Linked DNA regions of Macaca fascicularis. The main gene of each other region encodes a partner of the protein of the gene in region 3 in a complex. Links are inferred from orthologs where the notes say so. Each region holds a gene or a part of one and is shown on either strand. Other genes may lie near its edges.

Region 1 (4,267 bases), on a different chromosome or scaffold from region 3:
GCAGGGCTGGGAAGTCTGGGAGGAGGTGGGAAAAATCATGGGGAAATGGGAGCCCAGTCAGAAGTGGAAGGGAGGGGCCAGGCGCGGTGGCTCATGCCCGTAATTGTAGCACTTTGGGAGGCCCATGCAGGTGGATCACTTGAGGCCAGGGGTTCGAGACCAGCCTGGACAACATGGTAAAACCCCATCTCTACTAAAATAAAAAAAATTAGCTGGGCATGGTGGTGGGCATCTGTAATCCCAGCTACTTGGGAGACTGAGACACAAGAATTGCTTGAACCTGGGAGGTAGAGGCTGCAGTGAGCCAGGAGCATACCACTGCACTACAGCCTGGGTGACAGCGAGATCCTGTCTCAAAAAAAAAAAAAAAAAAAAAAGGGCCAGGCACAGTGGCTTATGCCTGTAACCCCAGCACTCTGGGAGGCCGAGGCAGGTGGATCACCTGAGGTTAGGAGTTCAAGACCAGCCTGGCCAACATACTCTCATCTCCATTAAAAAATACAAAAATTAGCTGGGCGTGTTGGCGCACGCCTGCAGTCCCAGCTACTTGTGAAGTTGAGGCAGGAGAATCACTTGAACCCAGGAGGTGGAGGCTGCAGTGAGCCGAGATCGCGCCACTGCACTCCAGCCTGGGTAACAGAGCAAGACCCCGTAACTCAAAAAAAAAAAAAAAAAGAAGTGTAAGGGAGAAAGGAGGCCCCAGCAGGATTGCTGAGTAGCTCAAAACTAATTTGGGGTATCTGCCACCTCCAGGGTCTGTCTGCAGGACAGGGGGGCAATGTATTCACAGCAGATCCAGCCAGTGTGTGGCAGTGGAGCCCCTGGTTTGAGAAGTCACCTTCTCATATGACTCTGGGCATGGTTACCTCTGTACCTCTGTCTCCCTCTTGTGAAATGGAGCGAGGAATGCAAAGGCTTCTAGCACAGCGCCTGGCCCACGCGAGCATCGACACGCGGGAGGTAGTGTGGATGCCGCAGGAGGTGACCATGTCTTCTCCCAGGGAACTGGGCTCGAATGAGGGAATTTCAGGCACCACGACAGGGCAGCATGTGGGGGGTTTGGGACAGAATGAGGGCCCCAGTGCTCCTTCCCCACCTGCCCCAGGGGGCCCCACCTCTTCCTTCGTGCCCTCAGAAAGCAGCATCATGACGCAGGCCTCAATGGGCAGGGCAATCTCCCGGCCCAGCTCATGCAGGTGGGTTGCCAGCGACACCCCATACACCCTGGAGAAGTGGGTGGCTGCCATCGACGGGGAGTGGTCTGCAGGGATGAAACAGATCAGCGGCCCAGGGCCTTTCCACCCAAGCAGTCAGGCAGGGGCACCCCCCTGATGTCCTCAAGGTGGTACCACCTGCCACCGACTATCCAGGCCCACATCTGAAATCATCCATCACATCTCTCGAATCGGCCCGCCTCCACTGCCTCTGTCCTAGTCTAGGCTACTGTTGCCTCCTTCCGCCTCACAGGCCTGGCTCTAGTCCTGCCCCCTTCACTCCACCCTCCACATGGCAGCCAGAGCAGCCTCTCCATCACAGATTAAACCCAGCTCTCGGACCCCAGCCACAGCTTTCTGCTGCCTTTCAGGATGAAGTGGAAGCTTCTCAGTAAGCCCCGAGCAGGGCGGGGTCAGGGGTGTGGTATCGCCGGGCCTACGTCCCCACCTGCTTGGCCATGGTTCTCCCTCAGCTCAGCCAGGGCCGTGTCCAGAGAGCTCAGTGACCTGCGATGGTAATCGGCTTGAATCTCCAGGAGCTGTGGGGGCGAAGGGACACCCTGAGTGGAAGTGAGGGAAGCTGAGCCTTCTCTAGGGTCCTTGAGAGCAGACACCCCCTCCACCATAGCACAGAGCCCCACTGGACCCTGGCTGTGGCATTTAGCCCCGAGCTCTGGATGGATGGGGCCCGGTCTTGGACTCACATGAATGAAATAGTTGGCATAGGAGTCCTCCTTGGTAACAAAGTGGTACAGGTCAGCCAAGTACTCGTCCTTGGGGACAGAGAGGGGAGAGCTTACATTGGGTGAGGCAGGGGGTCTAGAGGGAAAGAGGAGGCTTGGAGGGGTTGGTGACCTGTGCCCCAGGCCACACAACTGCAGGTGGAAGTCCCAGCCAGGCTCCTCTCTTCTGCCAAGGTTGGTGCTTGGGGCCAGCCCATGGGAACTCCCTCAAACTTTTCTGGCTTCTCGTCCCCATCTCTGTGTCCCCATAGCCTTAGCACAGTGCCCTGTTTTGTTTGTTTTTTTGTGCGGTTTTTTTTTTTTTTTTTTTGAGACAGAGTCTTGCACTGTTGCCTGGGCTGGAGTGTAGTGGTGTGATCTCGGCTCACTGCAACCTCCGCCTCCTGGGTTCAAGCAACTCTCCTGCCTCAGCCTCCCGAGTAGCTGGGATTATAGGTGCCCGCCACTACGCCCAGGTAAGTTTTTGTATTTTTAGTAGAGATGGGGTTTCACCATGTTGGCCAGGCTGGTCTTGAACTCCTGACCTCATGATTTGCCTGCCTCCCAAAGTGCTGGGATTACAGGTGTGAGACGCCGCGCCCGGCCCTGCACAGTGCTGTTATCATCCAATCATTCATTCACTCTTCATTCATTCACTTACTCGTTCAGCAAACACACGGAGACTCAGGGAACAGACCAAGTCTTGGCCTCCCCATGTTACGCATGGGGTACAGACAGAAGAGGGTACAAGGGAATGGCGGAGCTCTGCTGCCTCCTAGCCACATGGCCTTAGGCAAGTCATGTCACCCCTCTGAGCTTCAGCTTCCTTGCCTGTGAGATGGGGCCAGGACCCACCCCTGCCACCCCTGTACATCCAGGAGACCCATGTGGCCCTCACCCTGCATTGCTCCACCTTCCTCTTCAGCTCCTCCTCCTCCTCCTTCAGCGTCTCCACCTTGTTGGCCATAGTCGTGTGGCTGTGACTGCCCGGGCCGCCTCCCAGGCCTTGACTGCTGCCTGAATTCTTGGTTGCCTGACTGAGCCTGGGGATGATCCCAAGGGGAGCTGGTCACCTGCCCTGTTGCATGTCCAGAGCCAAGTGTCCCCTCCATACAGCAGACCACATGGTATTCTAGGATTTGGAGCTGCAGATCTGAGAGCTCCACTGGCTGGGGCCTCAGCCCAGGCTGGGCTACGAGTGCGCTGGGTTGCCCCCTGGTGGCGGGTTTGGTGATCACAGCCACCCAGCAGAGCCGAGAACAGGGACAGCCGCAGGACTGTTTATGGCGGTCCTACGCTTTGGGGTGGCCCCAGCACCAGCTGTGACACACACGGGCACACCCTCACAGATACCCTCACCACCTGTGTTTCCAGGGACCAGGCATGCGCAAGTATACACACTGTACTTAGCGGACCCCACAGCATCCTCCTGGTGTGGCCAGGGCCTCAAAGCTCTACGACCACCTCTGTGGGCTGACCCAGATATGAGGCCCCTGAGTGGCCGGGGCTCCCACCTGCTCTTGAGTGTGTTCCAGTCGGACACGAGCTTCTGGAGGCTTTTCTTGTGCTTGAGGATGGCTGGCAGCTCCTCCTGAGGATGGGCATGGGGGGTCAGTGTGCTGGGGGAGGACGGAGCCAGCAACCGGGGAAGGTGGGGACCGGGAGCAGGGCACAGGCTCACCTCACTCAGCCTGCTGAGTGGCTGCAGGACGTCCCTCTCCAGGGTCATCTCAAACTCGGCCAGGATGCGGGCCAGCTGGTTCTGGATGGCACAGCTCATCTCCAGGGCCTTCCTGTGGACACGGCACCCCATGGGCCCAGGCGCCCGCTGCCCTCACCTCCACTGGAAACACCTGGTGGGGCCTCTCCTCCTTCAATTCCGGCCCCTCCTAGATATCCTTCATCTCTGCTAAGGCCGAACACCCTCCCAGGCCTGGCCGCCCTCACTGACTTGAGCACTGTCCCCGGCCTGGTCATTCTTCCGATGTGGATGCCCTCACCACCTGGACCCCTCCCAGCTGAGATCATGTCTTGGTAGCCCCAGGTGAGGGCAGGGCCCCGTCTATGCTCACCCCATGCTGGAATCAGGGTCCAGCTCCTTGAAGCTCTCGGCCATCGTGGTGGACAGAGCCATGAGGGGAAGCTTCTTCTGCAGGGAGGTTGGGGCCGGCAGTGAGTGTCCTTGCCTCCCTCCACCCTGCCTGAGCAGCAGGCCAGCCCCTTGGGGGCAGGTGAGGAGGGAACCCAGGAATGCCACAGTCCCAGATGAGAGTGGAAACAAGATGACAAGGCATGGTGTGGGTGACATTTCCCTGAGACCATGGATGGAGC
Region 2 (5,027 bases), on a different chromosome or scaffold from region 3:
GCAGAATTATCACAACACTCGTGAATATTCCACACCCCATCCACAAACTTTGGCAATCTTCACCTTCTTTCCTGGGCCAAGGAACTGAGTTCTTATCTGTTTTGAAAAGGTGGTGCTCCATTATCCAAGTAAGGCTTGAGATATAAAAATCGTTATGCTAAGATGTGAAAAAATATCAAGCTAACAAACCTGCCGGCTGCCATTTTCAACTCTGGCAACCAACAAACACAAACAAAAGGCTGAAAAGTGAGTTTCAGTAAGTTTGCCATCATGTTACTACATATAATGCAAAACCCCAGATACCACGCAGGTGGCATCAAAGTAGCATATATCTGGTTCAGGGCCAACACAGGTACATCAATATTCCCATCTCATAACACCATTAAACTGGCCAGAATGAGAAAGATCTACAATAATTTGTGAACTTATAGACCCCATACTCATTTTCTAAAAATAGTTATGTGTTGGGCTGGGTGTGGTGGCTCACACCTGTAATCCCAGCACTTTGGGAGGCTGAGGCGGGCGGATCACCTGAGGTCAGGAGTTCGAGACCAGCCTGGTCAACATGGTGAAACCCCATCTCTACTAAAAATACAAAAACTAGCCAGGCATGGTGGCGTGTGCCTGTAATCCCAGCTACTAGGGAGGCTGAAGCAAGAGAATCCTTTGAACCCACGACGTAGAGATTGCAGTGAGCTGAGATCACACCACTGAACTCCAGCCTGGGCAACAAAAGTGAAACTCCGCCTCAAACAAACAAAGCTGGGTGCGGTGGCTCACACCCGTAATCCCAGCACTTTGAGGGGGCAAAGGCGAGTGGATTACCTGAGGTCAGGAGTTCAAGACCCACCTGGTCAACCTGGTAAAACCCCATCTCTACTAAAAATACAAAAATTAGATGGGCGTGGTGACAGGCACTGGTAATCCCAGCTACTTAGGAGGCTGAGGCAGGAGAATCACTTGAACCCAAAAGGCGGAGGTTGCAGTGAGCCAAGATGGCGCCACTGCACTCCAGCCTGGGTGACAGAGAGAGACTCTGTCTCAAAATAAATAAATAATAAATAAATAAATAAAATAAGAAAAAAATTGGTTATGTGTTGGCCAGGCACGGTGGCTCATACCTGTAATCCCAGCATTTTGGGAGGGTGGATCACCTGAGGTCAGGAGTTTGAGACCAGCCTGGCCAATCTGGTGAAATCTTGTCTCTACTAGAAATACAACATTAGCTGGTTGTGGTGGTGGGTGCCTGTAATCCCAGCTACTCGGGAGACTGAGGCAGGAGAATCTTGAACCCGGGAGCCCCGGGGAGGTGGAGGTGGCCATGAGCCGAGATCGTGCTACTGCGCTCCAGCATGGGCGACAGAGCGAGACTCCGTCTCAGGAAAAAGTAAAATAAAAATTGGTATGTGTTAATAACAAAGAGACTGGCTATTCAATTCTCCATTTCTGGCCGGAACAAGTAAATCTAAATTAGAACGATCCTACAAGAGAAAGTCTAGAGAGGATGGCTCAGGAGCTTCCTGATTCATAGGAGACTAGTCTGAACCCAGTCTCAGCGGCCAAGAAGAAACAGCTTCGACTTGGCAACAGTGTGAAGGCACGAGGACTCCTGATGCTGTTAAACAGGTACACATACAATGAGAACCCCAGAATTACTTCGTACCTCACAAATCTCCAGTACTAAGGGCATCTATCTATTCCCTTGAAACACTCCCAAATCAACTCCAACGGCATCGGAAAGACAGTCAATCTCAGGGATCCCTGGCAAGAAAAACCCAGCGCAGGTAATTTATGTTCTTGGCGTAGAGTCTGTTCCCAGCATCCAGGAAGACTCAGCCCGCAGCCCCATCTTACTGAGCAAGGTCACGCCCTGAAGTACACACTGACAATGTTTAAGTCCAAGGAAAATGAAGCTCCAGTCACATCCAGGGAAGGGTCTGTTTCCACTGCCTCATTTCTGGTTTATTCTCTGGAATAAAATGTCTTTCCTCCACTAAACACTTTGAAAACCAGAACCCTCTACCGGCGGACAGTCTTCTGGACGCTTAGATGTCCTGCACGCAGCCAGGCATCGCCTTAAACTGGGTTGGGCTGGTCACTGAAGGCTTTCTTCTATCACTTAATTCACCACCTTCGTCCTCCACGGGGGAAGAGGACGGTACAAGGATTTTGGAAAAATGCCCAAGAAAGGAAAAAACTAACCGGTTTCCTGAGGGTGTCTCCATCCCTCCCGGCCAGTTTGTGGTGACTTCCTACCAAAGGCCACCAGGGGAGCACGGCCAAACCCGGCTCTCCAACACGGCAGGAAACGCTTCCAGCCCAAAAGCCACTTGTAGGATTATCGGATTCATTCTGGGCGCCGCTGCCAAGTGATGCCCCCGCAGTGCCAACATCTCCCTCAGCTCTTTGTCCCCACGTTGCCTTGCCCTGCCCTACCCTTGCGCCTGGCCCGGGAGCCAGCCCCACCCTGGGGCCGAAGCAGTTCCCCTTCCCCGGGGCTGCCCTTCCCAGGCACACCCCGGGGCCTCGGTCCGCGGCTCCTCCTCCCCCACACTCCTGTTCCCCGGGTGGGAATGAGCCCCAGCAGCCGGCGGGCCCCTGCCACGGTCACCCAGCCCTCTGCCCACGACCCCGAGGGTCCGCTCTCAAGGAGCAGCCAGCCGGGCTGGGAGCTCCGCGGCCCTCACCCCGCCCAGGGCCCCCCGTCCCGTCAGTCCCTCACCCGGCGGAGGTTGGGCGGGCGACGGCGGCACTGGCGGGCGCGGGCCGCTGCTGTTGATGATGTAGTGGGAGACGCGCGAGTTCTCTGAGACGCTGAGCACATAGTCCCCGGGGCTGGTGCTCGAGTCCCGCACCAGGAACACCCCGTGCCGCTGGCCCTGCAGCAGCGCCACCGCCTCCTGCCGACTCAACCGCCCCCAGTACCAGCTACTCCGCTCCTCCGAGTCGAAGTTGCCCGCCATGGCTGCCTCCGCGCCTAAACGCTGGGGTGCCGCCGCCGCGCGCGCCCCTCCGGCCCCCGGCGCCCGCCGCCCAGCGGACCGGCTCCGGTTTCAGCTTCACAGCAGCGCCCGAAATGGCGGCGGCAGCCGCGGGCCTTCCCCACCGGAAATGACGCGCTCCCTGCCCGAGGGAGGCTGCCGGGAAGGGGCCCGCGGCCCGCCATTGGGAGAAGGGCAAGGCGCCCTCGCGCGCGCACTGCGCATGCGGCCTCATGGGCGGTGCCGCCCTGCCCGGCCCGGGGATGAGGGGGATGGGAGGCGGGGTCTAGGGCCCGGGGGCGGGGCCTCGCGGCCTCCCGCAGAGACGTGCGCCTGCGCCGCCGACCGCGCGGTGCTGCTTCAGGCTCGCGTTCCCGGACTGCCCGGGACTTCTAGGCGGCGGCTCCCAGACAGGATTGCAGGAGAAAAGACGCGTGTGGCCCTGGGGCCTCAGTTCTCGGCCAGGCTTCCTGGGATATCAGTCTGTTTCTCTTTTCTTTTTCTTATTTTGTTTTTTCAGACGGTGTCTCTGTCGCCCAGACTGGAGTGCAGTGCCGCGATCTCGGCTCACCGCAACCTCCGCCTCCCGCGTTCAAGCGATTCTCCTGCCTCCGCCTCCCAAGTAGCTGGGATTACAGGCGAGCGCCACCACGCCTGGCTAATTTTTGTATTTTTAGTAGAGACGGGGGTTTCACCATGTTGGCCAGGCTGGTCTCGAACTCCTGACCTCGGGTGATCCACCCGCTTCGGTCTCCCAAAGTGCTGGGATTACAGGCGAGAAACATCGCTCCCGGCCATGTCGGTCTGTTTCTTCTCGTTCCTCTAGCTTCTCCACAGGCCGGCTGACGTTCTCATTTTCATTGATTCATTCAGGACATTGTTATGGACACTCCACCTGCACTGCGGGTGCAAAGGTGATGGATGCTGGGCCCTGCACTCCTCAAACTCACACACCAGTGAGAGGAACCAGGAAACTGCATGACAAAAGGATGACAAATGCTGACAAGCGCTATCATGGGAAACGGACATGAACACAGAGCAGAGCCCCCCTCCATCCAGTCTGCGGAGTAATCCAAGAGGGCTTCCCAGAGGAGGTAGCATGTGTTGACTGCTGAATGACAAAAGGGGAAGGACATTCAAAGCAAAGGGAGCAGAGTGTGCCAAGCCACGTGAAGTACAGAGTTCTCCTCTCTTTTGAGGCTTTGGGGTCACCTGCCCAGATACTTCTAAACACTAAATTGTAGCCAGGGGCATCTCCTACTTTCACTGCCGTCATGGTCACTCTGGACTGTGTTCCTATGAGTGGCTTGCTCGCTGGTGCCCTTTCGTCTGGTTGCCTCTAATTGCACTGCAAACAGCTCCCACTGAGTTTTCTAAAATACAGATCTGGCTGGGCACGGTGGCTCACGCCTGTAATCCCAACACTTTGGGAGGCTGAGGCAGGCGGATCACCTGAGGTCAGGAGTTCTAGACCAGGCTGACCAATATGGTGAAACCGCGTCTCTACTAATACAAAAATTAGCTGGGCGTGATAGTGGCTGCCTGTAATCCCAGCTACTCAGGAAGATGAGGCAGGAGAATCGCTTGAACCCGGGAGACAGAGGTTGCAGTGAGCTGAGATCCCACCATTACACTCCAGCCTGGGCGACAGAGGGAGATCCTGTCTCAAAAAAGTATATATGTATACAAATCTGAATGTGTTGCTACCTTGTGTAAAACGTTTAACAGTCTTCAGGTGTTCAAACTCCCAGGTTAGCTCAGAGCATAAAATTGAGCCATAGTCTCTCTTTTTTTTTTCAGATGGATTCTTGCTCTGACGCCCAGGCTGGAGTGCAGTGGTGCGATCACAGCTCACTGCAACCGCCACCTCCCGGGTTCAAGTGATTCTCCCTGCCTTAGCCTCCCAAGTAGCTGGGACTACAGGCGCCTGCCACCATGCCCAGCTAATAATGTTCGTATTTTTGGTCGAGACGAGGTTTCACCGTGTTAGCCAGGATGGTCTCCATCTCCCGACCTCGTGATCCGCCCACATCGGCCTCCCAGAGT
Region 3 (4,147 bases):
GGAAGAAGGTTCTCCTCTCCCCACCTGCCTCCTGTCCCCTCCCTCTGGGAGTCCCTGAGGAGCATAGGCTCCAGCGGTCAGTTCAGTCCCATAGGCAGAGGTGCTTCTGGAGCCCGCCAAGGAGCTAGCCCATCTCCCACCTGTTACCCGCGGCATCTGTGGTTGCTGTCTCAGAGCAGATGCAACAATAGTAATCACCAGGCTGCGTGATGAGCAGCTCAGGGTGAAGGCACTGATGTAACAAGCTCGCTGCAGCCAGGCGGAACCAGGACACGCCCGTGGACAGAGCCCGTGTCCTGGTGGTCTCTGGGAAGAACATGTTTCTGGTGCCGTTGCCTAGGCAAGCGAGGGAGTTGGGATCAGCTCAGGAGGGTCTCAAAACACTAGCAATAATAATATTTGCCAACATTTATGTAGTGTGCCTACAGGCCAGGCTCTGTTCTGTGTTCGTGGTTGGCCCCCAGAACCAGCAGTCCAGGTTCTGCTGCAGACCAGCTGAACAAAAGCATTGAAGGGTATATTCGTTTGTTTTCATGCTGCTAATAAAGACATACCCAAGACTGCGTAATTTATTAAGGAAAGAAGTTTCACCAACTCACAGTTCTACATGACTAGGGAGGCTTCACAATCATGGCTGAAGGCGAATGAGGAGCAAAGTCATGTCTTATTTGGTGGCAGGCAAGAGATCTTGTGCAGGGGAAGTCCGCTTTATAAAACCATCAGATCTTGTGAGACTTATTCACTACCACGAGAATGTGGGAGAAACTGCCCCATGATTCATTTATCTCCACCTGACCCCGCCCTTGACACGTGGGGGTTATTACCATTCAAGGTGAGATTTGGGTGGGGACTCAGCTAAACCATATTGGAGGTGGGGGCTAGGCCAAGCATCTGGGTTCGTAGAGGATCCTGGGGATGGCAATAGTGGACTCCATTCTAATGGACCACAGACTGGGTACATGTGAAGGGACCGGACAAATCCCCACTTCATGGAGATTTATGGTGGGATGTTTACTGACAGCAGAATCTATAAACCTGAGTTTTCTTTATCACATACTCATATTAGTTAAAAAAAAAAAAATGAACATGCAGCCCATATATATGGTATATAAAGTACATACGTCTACTACCGTAGGAGTATAGTGTGTATGTTATGTACCAAAACGCACATTTCAAAGGCTTGCATGCTAAATAAGTCCAAATTAACAATGCTTCACCCCTGCTGGGTCATCTCGCTCACCCCCTTGGAGGTTATGGCATATAGACTGTCCAGAAGCTTCCACCCTCCCTCCTCCTGTTGGTTTTCCTGATTTCAGGTGGCTGAGCAGTGGGGGGAGGCCTCTGTGGGAACGCTGTGTGATCAGCAGTCATGTTCATTTATGCCCGTCAGTCTCATCTGAGGGGTATTTTGATAGTGATCTCTTGGTGAGCCGAGGGTGTCAATTAACTGCTCAGTGCTGAAATCGAGTGGTGCATAATTTATTACAATTTCACTCTCCTGGCCTCCTTCTACTAGATTAAAGTTCTGAGAGGGCTTTGGCGTTCCCTGATTCAGATGTCCCGCGTGCTGCCTTGGGTTCTGATAAATGCACACTGGTACCTCTGTTCTGAGTTACAGGTGCCAACAGAAAACCTCTTCTTGCAAGCTGACCTCTGAGGGAAAATTCTGTTATTCACTAGCAGGAGCTTGGCAACACCAAAAAGATTTTTTTTTTTTTTGAGAAGGAGTCTCACTCTGTTGCCAGGCTGGAGTGCAGTGGCGTGATCCCGGCTCACTGCAACCTCCGCCTCCCAGGTTCAAGCAATTCTCCTGCCTCATCCTTCTGAGTAGGTGGGACTATAGGCGTGTGCCACCATGCCCAGCTAATTTTTGCATTTTTTAGTAGAGATTGGGTTTCACCATGTTGGCCAGGATGGTCTCGATCTCTTGACCTCGTGATCCACCCGCCTTGGCCTTCCAAAGTGCTGGGATGACAGATGTGAGCCACCGCTCCTGGCTACCAAAAAGATTTCTTATAAGCTATGATTCATATTTTAAAAGTGCCCATTAAAAAACTGTTGGCCAGGTGTGGTGGCTCACACCTGTCATCCCAGCACTTTAGGAGGCCAAAGTGGGCGAATCATGAGGTCAGGCTCCCTTGGCACAAGCTGGGGGCTGCCCCCACCCCATGCTCCCAGAGGAGCACCCAAGCATCTGGGCTCAGACAGGCCTGGATCTGATAACCGGCTCTGATGCCCACCATCCATGAGGCCAGGCAAGTAGTCCCTTCTCTCCGTCTGTCCTCAGCTTTCTCACTTGTAACCGTGCTACAGCGCTGTTGTGAGAATGCACAGCAGATGACGTTGTAAAGGTGAAGCACGTGTCACGTTCCTCTCAATAAAGCCGTCATTGCTGTTAGGATTGTTGTTAGGAAAGGCTTTGAGCCAGGTGCAGTGGCTCATGCCTGTAATCCTAGCACTTTGGGAGGCCAAGGCGGGTTGATCACCTGAGGTCAGGAGTTTGAGACCAGCCTGACCACCATGGTGAAACCTGTCTCTTCTAAAGATACAAAATTAGCCACGCGTGGTAGCGCGTGCCTGTAATCCCAGCTACTTGGGAGGCTGAGGCAGGAGAACCGTTTGAACCTGGGAGGCGGAGGTTGCAGTGAGCTGAGATTGCGCCACTTCACTCCAGCCTAGGCAATGAGCGAGACTCCAACTCAAAAGAAAAGCTTTGGTCTCTTTCCCTGAAGATGGGAACAAAAAGCTGGATGGCCCTGGCCTTTTCATCCCTGCAGTGGTTTACTTTAAGGCAGCAGTCCCCCAACCCACCCACATCACTCTGGTGAGTAAAAACGATGACAAGGCCAAGCAAAGGGTCAAAACTTGTGGCTTTCCTGCCAGCCAGCTAGCTGACAGGCCTACAAGGAGTTCTGGGAATAAGGGGCTATGTCCCACTGTGGGGAAGGGACAATGGGCCATTATGCATAGGAGATAAGAAGGGTTCACCTTCGACAATTTTTTTGTTTGTTTGTTTTGGCTGGAGTGCAGTGGCGAGATCTCAGCTCACTGCAACCTCTGCCTCTATGGTTCAAGCGATTCTCCTGCCTTAGCCTCTGGAGTTGTCTGGAGTTGTCAGCTCTTCCCCTTGCGTTTCAGATCCTCTGGACCATGAGCCTGCCGTGTCTCCATTGCTCCCTCGAAAAGAGCGAGGTCCCCTGGAGGGCGGCCTGAATGAGGATGAACGCCTTCTCCCCAAAGACAAAAAGACCAACTTGTTCAGCGCCTTGATCAAGAAGAAGAAGAAGACAGCCCCAACCCCTCCCAAACGCAGCAGCTCCTTCCGGGAGATGGACGGCCAGCCGGAGCGCAGAGGGGCCGGCGAGGAAGAGGGCCGAGACATCAGCAATGGGGCGCTGGCTCTCACCCCTTTGGACACAGCTGACCCAGCCAAGTCCCCAAAGCCCAGCAATGGGGCTGGGGTCCCCAATGGAGCCCTCCGGGAGTCTGGGGGCTCAGGCTTTCGGTCTCCCCACCTGTGGAAGAAGTCCAGCACACTGACCAGCAGCCGCCTGGCCACTGGCGAGGAGGAGGGTGGTGGCAGCTCCAGCAAGCGCTTCCTGCGCTCCTGCTCGGCCTCCTGCGTTCCCCACGGGGCCAAGGACACAGAGTGGAGGTCGGTCACGCTGCCTCGGGACTTGCAGTCTACGGGAAGACAGTTTGACTCGTCCACATTTGGAGGGCACAAAAGTGAGAAGCCGGCTCTGCCTCGGAAGAGGGCAGGGGAGAACAGGTCTGACCAGGTGGCCCGAGGCACAGTAACGCCCCCGCCCAGGCTGGTGAAAAAGAACGAGGAAGCTGCTGATGAGGTCTTCAAAGACATCATGGAGTCCAGCCCGGGCTCCAGCCCGCCCAACCTGACTCCAAAACCCCTCCGGCGGCAGGTCATGATGGCCCCTGCCTCAGGCCTCCCCCACAAGGAAGAAGCTGGAAAGGGCAGTGCCTTAGGGACCCCTGCTGCAGCTGAGCCAGTGACCCCCACCAGCAAAGCAGGCTCAGGTGCACCAGGAGGCACCAGCAAGGGCCCCGCCGAGGAGTCCAGAATAAGGAGGCACAAGCACTCCTCTGAGTCGCCAGGAAGGGACAAGGGGAAATTGTCCAGGCTCAA

The links.
Region 1: the proteins of ABL1 (region 3) and SH3BP1 are in contact, whole or in part, in a crystal structure (PDB 1ABO), measured with the Mus musculus proteins. The link is inferred for Macaca fascicularis from reciprocal best matches to the Homo sapiens genes ABL1 and SH3BP1. Residues at the interface, in NP_033724.2 of Mus musculus: Tyr70, Phe72, Ser75, Gly76, Asp77, Thr79, Asn94, Glu98, Trp99, Trp110, Pro112, Asn114, Tyr115; in NP_001303613.1 of Mus musculus: Ala607, Pro608, Thr609, Met610, Pro611, Pro612, Pro613, Leu614, Pro615, Pro616.
Region 2: the proteins of ABL1 (region 3) and CRK are in contact, whole or in part, in an NMR structure (PDB 1JU5), measured with the Homo sapiens proteins. The link is inferred for Macaca fascicularis from reciprocal best matches to the Homo sapiens genes ABL1 and CRK. Residues at the interface, in NP_005148.2 of Homo sapiens: Tyr70, Phe72, Asp77, Asn78, Thr79, Asn94, His95, Asn96, Gly97, Glu98, Trp99, Trp110, Pro112, Ser113, Asn114, Tyr115; in NP_058431.2 of Homo sapiens: Pro44, Asp46, Asn63, Gly66, Pro67, Arg68, Pro69, Pro70, Val71, Pro72, Pro73, Ser74, Pro75, Pro80, Gly81, Ser83, Pro84, Ser85.

Annotation. Positions count from the first base shown.
Region 1 is NC_088384.1:13,996,196-14,000,462, forward strand, and holds part of SH3BP1 (SH3 domain-binding protein 1), read right to left. Parts: intron 4,086-4,267; coding exon 4,009-4,085; intron 3,730-4,008; coding exon 3,618-3,729; intron 3,528-3,617; coding exon 3,451-3,527; intron 2,980-3,450; coding exon 2,835-2,979; intron 1,988-2,834; coding exon 1,919-1,987; intron 1,754-1,918; coding exon 1,663-1,753; intron 1,262-1,662; coding exon 1,116-1,261; intron 1-1,115. UniProt on the Homo sapiens protein: GTPase activating protein (GAP) which specifically converts GTP-bound Rho-type GTPases including RAC1 and CDC42 in their inactive GDP-bound form.
Region 2 is NC_088390.1:1,562,353-1,567,379, forward strand, and holds the start of CRK (adapter molecule crk), read right to left. Parts: upstream 3,108-5,027; 5' UTR 2,964-3,107; coding exon 2,723-2,963; intron 1-2,722. UniProt on the Homo sapiens protein: Involved in cell branching and adhesion mediated by BCAR1-CRK-RAPGEF1 signaling and activation of RAP1.
Region 3 is NC_088389.1:12,988,649-12,992,795, reverse strand, and holds part of ABL1 (tyrosine-protein kinase ABL1), read left to right. Parts: intron 1-3,138; coding exon 3,139-4,147. UniProt on the Homo sapiens protein: Non-receptor tyrosine-protein kinase that plays a role in many key processes linked to cell growth and survival such as cytoskeleton remodeling in response to extracellular stimuli, cell motility and adhesion, receptor endocytosis, autophagy, DNA damage response and apoptosis.